Linked DNA regions of Mus musculus: all the other regions are reported to be linked to region 1. The links are microRNA targets in miRTarBase. Many come from high-throughput screens and were not tested one by one. Region 1 holds a microRNA gene; each other region holds the end of a gene's coding sequence.

Region 1 (3,166 bases):
GCTAAACAAAATATCAAATAAATTGAGATGGCTTGGCTCTTCTGGCAGCTGCCCTGGTAGCTATGAGTTCAAACATCTTAATACTTCCCTGCAAAATCCACTGCCTGTTTTGCTCTTTGTTGCTGTTGCTCTCCCTTTTGCAAGGGAATATAAAAAGCAGACAAGAAAAAGTGGTGGGGTGGACAGCCAAGGGACACAATGAGCTGATGGATGATATAATTCCCAAACTGTAAACAACTTGTTTTATGACCTTTTGGAAGTCTTTCCCTAAACATCAGACTTCATTTTCTCATTTATAATCTTGAATGGGTAAAACTAGATGACTTATAAGGGCATTTTAATATCATTAATTCTTTACTGCTTATGAGAAAAGGCAACCAAGTTAGACAAAGCCGGCTAAGGCCACAAGAAATTACTGTTTCAATTCTGTTAAATAAATTATCTATCTTTTCCCCTGTTAGTATCTATCTTATATGTTTAATTTTAAAGCACATTTTAGTCACTTTTATTTATGTACAGGGGATCAAATACAGAGTATTGTACAAGTTAGGTAAGTGTTCTGCTACTGAGTTTTATCTCTAGATCTTGATTGTTTACTTTTTTGTTTGAGAAAGGGTAGTATTATATAGCCCAAATTGACTTTAAATCTGAGGTTCTCCTATCTCTGTCTATGAAAGCTTGTATGCACACATGTACTATCATACCTGGCTATAGCCACAATTTTTGAGTATTTGTTAGGTAACAAACACTAAATTAATGGCTTTATATGCATTATTACATATTCTTGCCATGATTTCATGGGCATTTTTGTGGCTATGGAAGAAGTAGGTTTCAGGGACATAAACTCATTTATTTAAGGTGTTCAGCTAGTTAATGGTAGAGGTAGAATTCAAATCCAGTTTTAAAAATCAACATCTAGGTACATAACCAGGGTAAACAGAGCATACAAGAAGTTGATAGGAGGAAGGAACACATAAATTGTCCCCGAGGACAGAATGATGACAATTTTTTCCTGTTTCAGCTGAATAGAAGAGTTAATTGAGGCTTGGGCCACCAGAATCTCCAGACAAACACCCAGGATCCCCGTTTTTGTTTGGAGCATTAGCGTGTTTTGTTCACTTCCCTCTTTTGGTGTGTCTTAGTCAGTCATGTTAGTGTCTGCCATTTGTCTCACACTTAGGGTAAGATATAATCACCCTATTTTTTTCTCTTTCCAGTTGCACATCTTCCAGCATGTTCTTGCTGCCCAGTGGAGGTTCCTGATCTGGCCATCTGCAGTGTCACGCTCCGTGTATTTGACAAGCTGAGTTGGACACTCTGTGTGGTAGAGTGTCAGTTTGTCAAATACCCCAAGTGTGGCTCATGCCTATCAGCTCCAGGTCCAGGACAGAGCACATAGCCTGCTGCCTACATATGAATGCTTATGAAACATGAAGCTCTCTGGTGTTATTCTATGTCTTTAAGGGAACTATAACATTTATTCAGAGAACATCAGAGTAGGAACGATGCAGCTCTGGGGTCTACAAGTCTGGTATGCATCTGTGTACATTGTGAAAATGCCATGGACTGCATAGTGGTACATGAGGGATACAGGGAATGAGAGTATTATTTGATTTATTATTAATGTCTTCTTTCACTTTCCTCTTCTTGCAGCCAGAATAGCAGAATTTTCATACAAGCATCATGAATTCTATGAGAAAGTAGGAAATAAATATCCACTGTCTGGCCTTCGGAGCACATCTTAAGCTACCTACATTTTCTCTTTTCCACTTTGCTTTTATCATTCTTAAAAGAACCTTCTTGTTTATCTTCATTGGGCTTTCAGACACTACCAAATTCCAATTCCTCTTGGCACTATTGAAAGTTAACCTATACTTTTCTTTACTCCTTGGCTAACCACATACTGGTATGTGCTATTATATGTCCTACCATCCAACACATCTTCTAAAGTTGTCAGTGAATTTTTCCAGGGTATGTTCTTGAATTCCCTATTATATTGTAAGAATCTAGAGCTTATTATATTCAGTTGATTGCTGTCTCTCATACCATTGTCCAACATTTTAATTATTAATAAATATTTACCAATTAATTGATGTTTTACTAGTCAATAACCTTTTGCTATATAGGTCAAATACCAACCAGGGTTTTGCGAAAAAAATAAATCAAACTGTGGGTATTCTAATGCTATAGTGTATACAAGATGGTAACCAAAATGGATTTTTTTTTCCTCTGAGAAATAAGATTTAGGTCTGGGGCAGGAGGGCAAGAAGAAAGAATAGACTCAGAGGGAAAAATTTTTTGAATTATTGGTTTACACGTGTCTTTTTAAACAGAATTTTCTGAGCCTTTAATATTCTATCATTGCACTGGGGTGAACTTCTAATATAGAACTATAAAATGAAGCATCTCCAATCCCTCTCTCCAGAGTCTAACATTTCATAACATATATTTTGGCAAGCTTCTTTAGAGAAATTCCATACTCTCCCTTGGTTCTGGAGAAATTCCATACTCTCCCTTGGTTCTGGAGATACCTACTTTCATTCTTTAACTTTTCACCCACTAACCAGTGACCTAAATAACAAGACCCATATTGTTACCCCAATTTTGCTCAGAATTGTCGGAGGGATGCATCTCTATCTAGGGATGACTTACTGGCTTACCCTGCATGGAAAAATACCATTGTTTAGGGACAAAGACCATCTTCAGAAGATGTCTGCAGCAAAGTACACACACTGCTAAAAATCCACAGGTCTAACCTCCAGTCTTTGTTCTGCCATTGACTTGATGTATGTTACTTTTGACAAACCTTCATTTCTCTCTGGGCTTCACTTCCCAATTTGTGGTATGTGAATGTTCAGATAAGTAATCTGTAAACATTTTCACATGCAAGAATAGGAGACATTCCTGGTGGTTCCAGTGTTGGGGGTTCCCTGAATTTGTGGCTCACTTTACTAGGGCAATTTCAATAAACATTCTCTCTTCAAGCCCAGGGATTAATTCTAAAGAGCAGAATGAGATAAAGGGTGTTTTCAAGGCTTTCAGGGCTGGACTCACAGATGTTTCATGAAGGAAGCTGAGGTTTCTACTGGGTGGTACCCAGGTTGTGGAGGCTGGTAAGTGAGATGGAGAAGAAGAAGTCATCTCTGACACTAATTATGCATAGCTA
Region 2 (3,166 bases), not on the chromosome of region 1:
GATTGTTATCTCAGTCACTCTAGTCTCCATGCCCTCAGGGATTCTGTGGCATTCCCTGCCCCTCTAGCCTCCCACTGCCTCTGTCACTTCCTAACCCCAACATGAAGCTCCAAACTCTAGGGATCCCTTGCTTTAGAATGAGAAGCTGTTGGCTCTGTGGAGACGTAGTGAGAGCGTCCACTCACGGTTGGTCTTGGATGAGTATTAGCTGCTCTTTCTGCCTCAAGTATAGGTAAAGGGCAGGACCTTGGGGGGAGGACAGGCAGGAAGCAGAGGGAGAGACTCTCCTGGAAGTATTTCAATATTTCATAACCAAGTAAGGATATGCATGCCCACTTGCCTAGCAAATGTGAAAAGGCAATATAATGGAGGTGTGGGGAGAGACTGGTGTTAGCAACCCAGTCTGAGAGGGGGGCCTGTATGGCCACACGGTGCTGCCAAGCACACTGGTATGTTCATTCATTACACTGGTCCTGCACTTCTCCGCTTACGTCTCCAGACTCTGAGAAGAGTGGGGGAGCTAAGACTTTGTCACCCCCACTTCCAGGTCTTAAGACTAAGTCCATTCTGTGTTCTCATATATTATTTTATAATACTATCAAGTGGAAGCGAAACTTTAGCTTTCGACCACGATGACTCTTAGAAGACTCTTTCCAGTGGCATTTATTTTCACCCTTCTTGAAACAGTAGGAAATGATGTCATGCACGGGCTTCCTGACAGCATGTTCAATCTTGCCTACTACTGGGCTGGCACTGGCCATCACTGCCTTATACAAGTACATGGAGACCTGATGTGTCAAGGTTGAACCAAGCATGGTTGATTGCAAGGTACCTGTACTAGGGCTTTCTCTTTACCTGGTCTGTATTTATTTGATACACATGAGAACAGGGTATACCAGATGTCTGAGTTTGAAATCGCTCTTATATATCTTGTACAGTGTCCTTTGCAGAGTTGCCTGTCTAGTGACAGTGTGTGTGTGTGTGTGTGTGTGTGTGTGTGTGTGTGTGTATGTACACGCATGGGAGAGGGCTGGGAGCAAAGTGTAGGGGTGACAAGAATGACTTACTCGTCCAGCAGGAATTTCTATGGCTGGCAAGTACATAAAAAGGGCATGAGGACAACAGCCTGAGATGACAGCCCCTGAGTCATGAGGGAGACCTGTCACAGTCCATCTTGGCAGGCTACAGTTGACTGCAGATGAGGCTCAGGCTTTAGACAGACATGAGAGCTGAAGGGAACCGTTGGCAAAACTGCCTTTGAACGACCTGCCTTGCTCTCCAAGAGCCTCCGTGGAGAATGTTTGCCCTGGACTATGCTTGGGCCTGCTCTTCCTCCATATCTACCCTCTGTGCATGTGGGTCAATGAGATGGACATTCCTGACTTTAGCCTTCAAGTTCCACTTCCTGGAAAATCCTTCAGTCCCTGTTAAACCAGGATGCACAATAGCCTGACTACCACAGGTCCCGTCAGTTTTAGATTCCTCCGATGTAAGGGAAGGCTTGTGCACCAACCAGCTGGATCTTGCTGAGTTAGCCATCTCTGGGATGGGCAGTATTCTGCTCATTTGATGCGATTTTCCTTTCCACCTAAAATAAAAGGTTTCTTCTTCAAGGTCATTTCTGTCCCCTCTCTCGGGTAATGCTCATGAGAGAACAGGGTAAAAATGTTGGGGAGAAAGTGTGTGGTATAGGCCATTTGAAGGGTACTATTAGAAATGAATTTTAAAAAATTAAAATAGATAAAGAGATTCGTTTTAAAAGTGCATAGCTGAGAACAGAGTTTCATCTATCATCCCCCATGAGAATTGAGGGCTGCGTGTGGTTCATTTAAAAAACAAGATGGCAGTCCGTCCGTCCCTTCTTCAAGGGAGGCTCCTAACTCTTGGCACTGTGGGGAATCCCGTTCCCGGAGTGCGGTTCACCTGTAATGTGGAGCCTGAAGTTCAGAGTGGAGGAAACAAGCTTCTATCTTCTGTGGTTGGTAAGCAGTTCTCAGGGGAAGCTGCCTGTACGGTTTCTGCTGGTTCCCTGCCAAAAGCCACCCTGCGAGAAGCCAGCCCGGCACAGCTGTTGGGGTGACCTCTGGAAGAAGGGACTGGGAGCAATGGAACACAAGTAACAAGTGCACTCTTAGAAGTGGACACAGATTCTTGATCCTCTTAGAATTCGTAAAAAATACCCTTTAACCCTTCTGGGAGGGGAAAAAAATCTCTTAAAGGTTAACGTAAAACTAATATTAAAGAGCAAATGATAGAGGTCATGTAACTAACAGAGATCAAAAGGACACATCTCAAAAGAAAAAAAATAATTCCTAATGCACAACATGTACCAATATTTAAATAATCCAGTTGAAACCTTGATTTTTTTTTCCATGAAAAAAATACACCCTAGACGGCTGCCTACACTGAGAGAGCGGAAGTGGTGGAGTTGGGGGAGGGGAGCAAGAAGGTCCATTCAGTTAGAGCTTTGCAAGATTCTTATATACAGCACCAGATCCCGTGACGCCAGCTCCCCTTGAGTCAGTCAGTACAGTTTGTGAGAAATGAACACATCAGAATTGCAGTATAAAATATGGCCATAAAAAACCTTCTATCTTCCAGTCCTATGCAGGTGCACCATGCAGGGTGGGTGGGGTTTCTGATGCAGGAGCTGCTCCGGCCAGGGGCTTCTCCTTCCCCGGCCCTGCCCCCTGGGTTCCACCTCCAGAGCCGGGTCACTTGCTTCCAGTGTGCCCTGTTGTCACAGTGGTGGGCCTGGGTCTCCTCTCAGCTCCGACTCCTGCGACCCCCGACGAAGAAGAAAGGAAACTACAGAGCGTGGAAGGTGCCAGACCTGCCAGGGACAGCAGATGAGAATTAAATTCACACTCCCCTTCCCAGAAAGAGGCTCAAATGTGCTGGGCTCTAGGGATGAAACTTATATTTAATTGCTAGGCGGGCCCTCTACCCTCCACCCCTGAGCTATACAGCCACATGCTGAACTTTCGTTATCTTATTATAGGAAAATCTCTACCATGTGTTGAATTGTTGTATTCTCTGGTCCAACTTTTGGGTCCTTTTTTCTTTATAATTGCTTCATATTTGAAGATGATGTAGCATGTCCATCATGCCACATGATATCGGAGGTCCCATTTTCTATATACTCTTTGCTATACACTAGGATAGC
Region 3 (3,166 bases), not on the chromosome of region 1:
AGGATTTAACACATTCATCTTCCCACTTGATTTGTTAGATTACCAGTTCTCACTGTTCACGTCTGTCCTAGAGGTAACAGTGTTAGCTGCTGGATTCTTGGCTTTACAGTGATTGATTGCAGTGTGAAGAGTTTCGGAGAGAGGGGAGCTTCACAGTTGGCATTTAAATAGACAGGCTCTTTCTCTCTCTTGTAGGGTTGATAGACTACAACTTCCACTGTTTCCGAAAAGCTATCCATGAGGTGTTTGAGGTGGGTGTGACTTCTCACAGAAGCTGCAGTCATCAGACCAGTGCTCCAAGTCTGAAAGCCTTGGCACATAACGGCACGCCTCGGAATGCCATCTAGTCTGAGTCTCAGCAGCGGAGGCTCAGTGCTGGCTTAGTCCTCCCTCCAGGGTCAGATGCCATGCACTGCAGGACATGAGCGCTGCTGCCTATGGAGTCTGGAGACGATGACGACGGTGGAGTTTCTCTGCTGACGAGAGCCCCTCAGCCGGCTGTGTGCAACTGAAGCTACTCTCTAAGTACATCGCAAAAGAATTGCAGAGACCTCAGAACTCAGTGTGTCTTTTCTTCTCTCTTGAGCCCTACTTTAAATAGCTGGGATATTTTGGACCTGGAGATGATAACCAGTTAGCCATCTTTACCAGTGAATGTTGCTGTCAGTCCCAGCCTAAAACAGTAGGAAACTGAGTTTTATATGCTTCCCTAGGCCTTCACTTGAGTAGTGTCGAAAGACTTGCTTTGCTTACGTTCTAACACTGCCTTTCAGAGTTCAGATCTCACTGTACCTCTAAGACCTTGGAAGTGCATTACCTTGCTGATTCAGAAGACCAAGCGAAGGATGTTTCTGAAGAGAAGAGGAAGTTTTTGTGCGGCATCGGGGAGAGCCAGGCTCAGCAAGGGCAGCATCAGATCTCTGGATGTGTTGGAAAAACTTTGAAACAGAAGTGATTTTCCACAGCTGTGGTTCAGGTAGCAGAGGGCCGTGCTCTCCTCGCCTGATCATGACCATGCACAATGCAACAAAGGGAATTTAAGACAGAAAGACTTCCCCACAGTCCCCCCAGTGAAGGGACAAACTCATTATGTCACTGAAGTACTTAGCTCACTTTTCTTTAATCTCGATGCCATGGCTTTTATTCTATGCTATGTAGGCTCTTTACGAATTGTTTTTGACCACAGATGACCCTAAGGGCTCCTGCGAACCGTCCTCTGGGGATTGGCGGAAGCATGCGGTGGTGCAGCTGCAGCGTGTGCAACTTCACACACTCTGCGGTCGGTTGTCTGACACCAAGTGTCAGCTGTGCTACTTTGCTTTGCCTGAGATATGAATTCATAATTGTTCCCTGTTGTTCATGGCTGATACCCTTCCCACTGATTTAGGCTTTCACATTTTCTTTACTACACATGCCCAGTAGTCACATTCCAAAGCCACTGGGCCCCTTGAGTGCGTCAGTGCAGCTGGTGAGTGAAATGTACTCAGGTCTGTAACCTAGCAGTGAGACTTGGAGCACTTCCTGCAGATGACTGACTGTTGCGAATTTACATGGACCACGGTGATATCCAAAGGAAAAATGCTTTTATATTTATAGATTATTTCATTGAACTATATGTAAAATGGGTATCAATAAATGTATTTACTCCAAAGTCAGTGTTTGTTGTGTGATGTGTAAGAGTGCTTCTTTTCTCACCATTCCTCTGTCCTTTGCTGCTGTGTGCAGTCACCATTCCTTCTGTTCAGCACATCTGCTTTTGTCTTGAGATCATTTTCATGGCCCATTTCTGCTGTGGAGTAGGTGTGGGCTCAGGTGAGAACATGTTTGGATTTGTGGTTTTATGTTAACAGACCTCTCTGGTACTGGGGAGCATCCAGAGCCTGGCATGACTTGTACATTGCATCCAGGCAGAACAGTAAGGAGGCTGAGGTGAAACAGGAGTAGAAAGAGCATGGTGGGCTGGCTCAGCTGGTGAAAGTGCTTGTCACTGAGCCTGGTGACCTGAGTTTAATCCCTGGGATCCACATGGCAGCAAGCAAGAGCAGAGTCCTGCAAATTGTCTTCTGACCTCCACAGATACACTGTAGCTGATGGCTGCCCCTACCCACTAACCATGCAAAAGAGCCCCTAAAATCATGGTACCAAGTTTCCTAGGTACTCATTACTAACCTTTGGATTCAGTGTTTACATTAGGTTGAGTCTAAACTGACTGAAGAACTAGTCATTAACTAGAGGAGGTATTGTTTGAAGGATGTTTCATTTCACAATTGGACTACTTTAGAAGTGAAACTCTGAAATAGAAATGACAAGCTGTTTGAAAAGATCTATTAATTGTATCTAACAGTTCCCTGTAAGTTTTCACACGATGGAACCAGGTCAGGATGGGTAAAGAGCCTTGCTGAGAGCTGCAGATAGGATGGTGTGTACCTTAAACTCCAAGCCAAGGGAGTTCTCGGGCTGAAGAAATAGCTGTAAAGCTGTGCTGTGGGTAAACTGAGGTGTCCAGATGTGTCATAGATGTGATTGATAGCCCAGGAGGGCGTGTAAAGCTGTGCTGTGGGTAAACTGAGGTGTCCAGATGTGTCATAGATGTGATTGATAGCCCAGGAGGGCGTGTAGTCCAGGCTAACACCTGTATTCCTCATTTGCCTCCTGCCTCAGACTCAGGCTTGGTGATGCTGTTTTCATAGCATCATAGATTTGCGTAGCACAGCTGCATACACATGTGGCCTTAGCTACTTGGGGCCAGTGCAGAAGGGCCACTTAAGCCACTTAACCCCCAAGCTGTGAGATAACTTTTTTTTAAAAGGAAAAAAAAAAAAAAAAACCAACCAAATGACAAAAACCTAAGTATAGTGTTAAGCCCCAGAGACAGGAGAATCAGCGGCTTTGAAGCATGGTACTTAAAGCTGGTACACAGTTCTAGGCCAGCCTGAGTGAGAGAGTGGAGACCTTGTCCTAAAACAAAAATACAAAACAAAACAACAACAAAAAAACATATTTCAGAGGAGCTTGATGTGACAAAATTATAACCTGACAAAATAAATGCAGGGATGATTAAGAAAGGCAAAAAGACAGGAGGTGGTGGCACACATCTTTAATCTCAGCAGTTGGGGAGACAGGCAGGTGGGTCTCTTTAGTTCGAGGTCGGCCTGGTCTATAGTGA
Region 4 (3,166 bases), not on the chromosome of region 1:
CACTGGCATTCTGGAATGTGTTAAAGAAGGAATTGGACGAGTGATAGGCTTGGGAGTGCCTCACAGCAAACGCCTTCTTCCACTGTTTTCATTGATCTTCCCAACAGTGCTGCATGGAGTTCTTCATTACATTATCAGCTCCATCATTCAGAAGATTGTCCTTCTAATTCTGAAGAGAAAGACCTATAACAGCCACCTAGCTGAGAGCACTAGCCCCATGCAGAATATGTTGGATGCCTATTTTCCAGAACTTATTGCGAACTTTGCTGCCAGCCTTTGTTCTGACGTTATACTTTACCCACTGGAAACAGTTCTGCATCGTCTTCATATTCAAGGAACACGCACAATTATTGACAACACAGACCTTGGCTACGAAGTACTTCCAATTAATACGCAGTATGAGGGAATGAGAGACTGTATAAATACCATAAAGCAGGAGGAAGGAGTGTTTGGTTTCTATAAAGGGTTTGGTGCTGTTATAATACAGTATACACTGCATGCAACCATCTTACAGATTACCAAAATGATTTACTCCACACTTCTTCAGAATAGCATTTGAGATTTAGGTTCTATGATTGGCTGAACCAAAAGATGTTGGATAATTTGCTATGACATTTCAAGTAATAAAAGTAAAAATACTGCGCGGAAAGAAATAGGCTGGGAATTACCACTGGTGGAAAACCTCATGCTAATTATTCTGACTTTTTATTTTTCTTAAGGCATAGATATATAGATATATAGATATATAATACTGGGTCAAACCTTTCCAAAATTGAAAACTCAATAAAGGTAATACTTTAAATTTAAAATGTAAAGTTACATTTTAGTATAACACTCATGCTGAAGTAAAATTGATCCTGGGGAGAAACAAAAAATGTATCAAGTATAAAATGAAATTGCAATGACTTGAATCTGTTTTACTGACCTTACTATTTGTTATGTTTGTTTAACTTGGATTCAGGTCACTGTGTTAATTATTAAAGCAGTGGATAGTGCTGGGATTTTACCTTTAAGCAAATAGAGTATGTCACCGTTGAAAAGAACTGGTGATTAGCTTTGGCACTGTGTAAGCAGTGGCTGAAGGGTTTAAATTGTATTTAACCATTTTAATTGCTGTATATATTTATTATATGGAGCCATTTGTGTCTGTGTGTACATGTAACTTGGAATTTCCTTCTTCCCTGCCAGTTTTCATAGACCAGCTTATTGCATCAAATGAAGGTAGACACTTTCTGCTGGAACATCAAGTATAAGACATCAAAATGCCAGAAAATAGCTTTTTTACCTGCATCCTGTCCAGCATTGCAGTGTCAGAAACTTGAAATTTGTCCTTTGCTTGTGATGTTTGGATCATCAGATGATTTTAGCTACTTTTAAAGAGCCTAACAATCATGGCAGCCATGACCGTTTCCACACTTACGTTAAGGAGCCCCACCTGTCTTTCATTTCTCAAAGAACTTATCTGAGAGGGAACAAAATGAAAGTTCTGGGGATTTGTGCCTCTTGCTCACCATAAATAATCACTGCAATCTTTCTTTTTTCTTTCCTTTTTTTGTATGTGTGCGTGTGTGTGTGTGTGTGTGTGTGTGTGTGTGTGTGTGTATGTAAAGTTTTATTCTCCAAATAAGCTACCCTGAAGATAAAAATGAGACATTCTTGGTACTCTTTATTTAAACTTGCTTGGATAAGTACTGAATTAAAGTACAAACCTCATAGGAAATTTGCCCTTATGTGTTACGAAGGAGGAGGAGGAGACACTATATTTCAACAAATGAAACTTGTTAATCAGCTTAATAAAATGAAGTTGATGTGTTCCCATGGTGGATTAGACTCTGTAATAAAGTGATGTATAGTTCACTGGTCACTCATGCAGCAGTTAGCATTTTATTTCTTCATGGCTATGCTCAAGTTTACAAACACTGAAGTGCAGTGCCTGCAGGTGTTGCCCAACCTAGAATGCATGCAAACTAACACTGATGTTACATGTTAAATGTTGCAGAGGGTGTTTGGACTGTGACTGATCAGAGTGGAAGCTTAATATGGTCGTGGAAAAGCATGAAGTAAGGTGTCAGTAGCAGCTGTCCCTACCAGTCTGTGTCTTTGGAGTAATGCTGTCAACTCTTCAGTTCCTCAAAAGGGAAAATAAATGCTGTTGATCACATTCTGTATTTTATGGTTAATCTCTTAACGTGTTTTTCTCTGTGTAAAAATGGGGTTAACATTTTTTACTGACTTTTAGCTGCTAAATTTTTAGGTGTTTATAGTCACCTTCCTCAGAATTTCATTTTGTAAGTCAAGGTAGTTTCAGAGAAGAAACCAGAAAATTTTGGTTTCAGAAAATGTTTAGAACAGTCTAAATGGAATCAAATATTTACTGGGTAAATTTTGTGGAATTTTCCATGTGCCTGAAGATTAGATATTCAAGGATTATTTATTGACAGATACCATGAATTTAGTAATATAAATTTATTGCATCTGAAGTCAAAATGCTGCTGCTGAACTAAATACATGATTAGTCTCATTTCCTGTTTCCTTGCAGAAATCCACGCAAATTACCTTAAAATAAAGATGGAGAGAGTTTTTTTTTCTAACTGCTTTTTTTTTTAAATTTGTTAAAATGTAACCTTTGAAAGTCAAACACATTTTAGTTGGCCAGTGTTTCTCAGTGAATTGATACCTTTTACACTCAGTATGACAAATAGCCCCGTAGATGTGATTCTGTTAAGTAGAATGCAACAAAGCACTCACTCGCTGATTGTGCAAAAAAACGCTACAGTGCTTTTATTCGAGAATCTCATAATCTGAGAAGCAGAAGACGCTGCCTTGACAGCTGTACTGTTGTTGGTCGAGGTCATGGAGGATGTGTGCTGTCTATGTGGGTGTGGATGCTGTAGAACAGAAAAGACATTTCCAGCTCCTGCAAAAACTACCTATGTGGAGAGCCGTGAACAATCGCCATTACAAGATGGCGCTGGCTTCTGCAGTGCCTAACTAGTAAACAAGCAATGTGCACGGGTGCTGGAGTAAATTCGTGCCAAGTCACTGCCCATCTCGGGGTGTAGCAGTGGGGTGATGAGTGAGCAGCTAATCAGGAGCTGACGCGTCACACGGAGGGGTATTTAAGCAGCTCCATTTTCCGGGTTCAGGGTCTTCCTGAGAAGTAAGC

What was found. Region 1 holds the annotated microRNA mmu-miR-223-3p (UGUCAGUUUGUCAAAUACCCCA, at 1,331-1,352, shown strand). A microRNA usually pairs through its seed, bases 2 to 8, with sites in the 3' UTR of a target mRNA and lowers its output. Matches are read on the target gene's strand: a 7mer-m8 pairs with bases 2 to 8, a 7mer-A1 pairs with bases 2 to 7 and ends in A, and an 8mer does both.
Region 2: the mRNA of Camk1d is a reported target of mmu-miR-223-3p. Seed matches in the 3' UTR shown: 7mer-m8 at 1,468-1,474.
Region 3: miRTarBase lists Rragc as a target of mmu-miR-223-3p. The part of its 3' UTR that is shown has no 7-base or 8-base seed match.
Region 4: miRTarBase lists Slc25a46 as a target of mmu-miR-223-3p. The part of its 3' UTR that is shown has no 7-base or 8-base seed match.

Annotation. Positions count from the first base shown.
Region 1 is chrX:96,241,554-96,244,719 of GRCm38, forward strand. It overlaps Mir223 (microRNA 223), which reads left to right and starts at 1,264; the gene lies at 1,264-1,373. It overlaps F630028O10Rik (RIKEN cDNA F630028O10 gene), which reads left to right. Exons shown (of 3, transcript NR_030718.1): 3 at 1-2,089.
Region 2 is chr2:5,296,269-5,299,434 of GRCm38, forward strand. Camk1d (calcium/calmodulin-dependent protein kinase ID) reads right to left here. Exons shown (of 11, transcript NM_177343.4): 11 at 1-2,833. The coding sequence ends at 2,715. Among named protein-coding and RNA genes, the nearest start is that of Gm36906, 17 kb to the right of the region's middle.
Region 3 is chr4:123,935,343-123,938,508 of GRCm38, forward strand. It overlaps Rragc (Ras-related GTP binding C), which reads left to right. Exons shown (of 7, transcript NM_017475.2): 7 at 196-1,655. The coding sequence ends at 347. Among named protein-coding and RNA genes, the nearest start is that of Rragc, 19 kb to the left of the region's middle.
Region 4 is chr18:31,580,584-31,583,749 of GRCm38, reverse strand. Slc25a46 (solute carrier family 25, member 46) reads left to right here. Exons shown (of 8, transcript NM_026165.4): 8 at 1-3,166. The coding sequence ends at 559. Among named protein-coding and RNA genes, the nearest start is that of Gm38606, 11 kb to the right of the region's middle.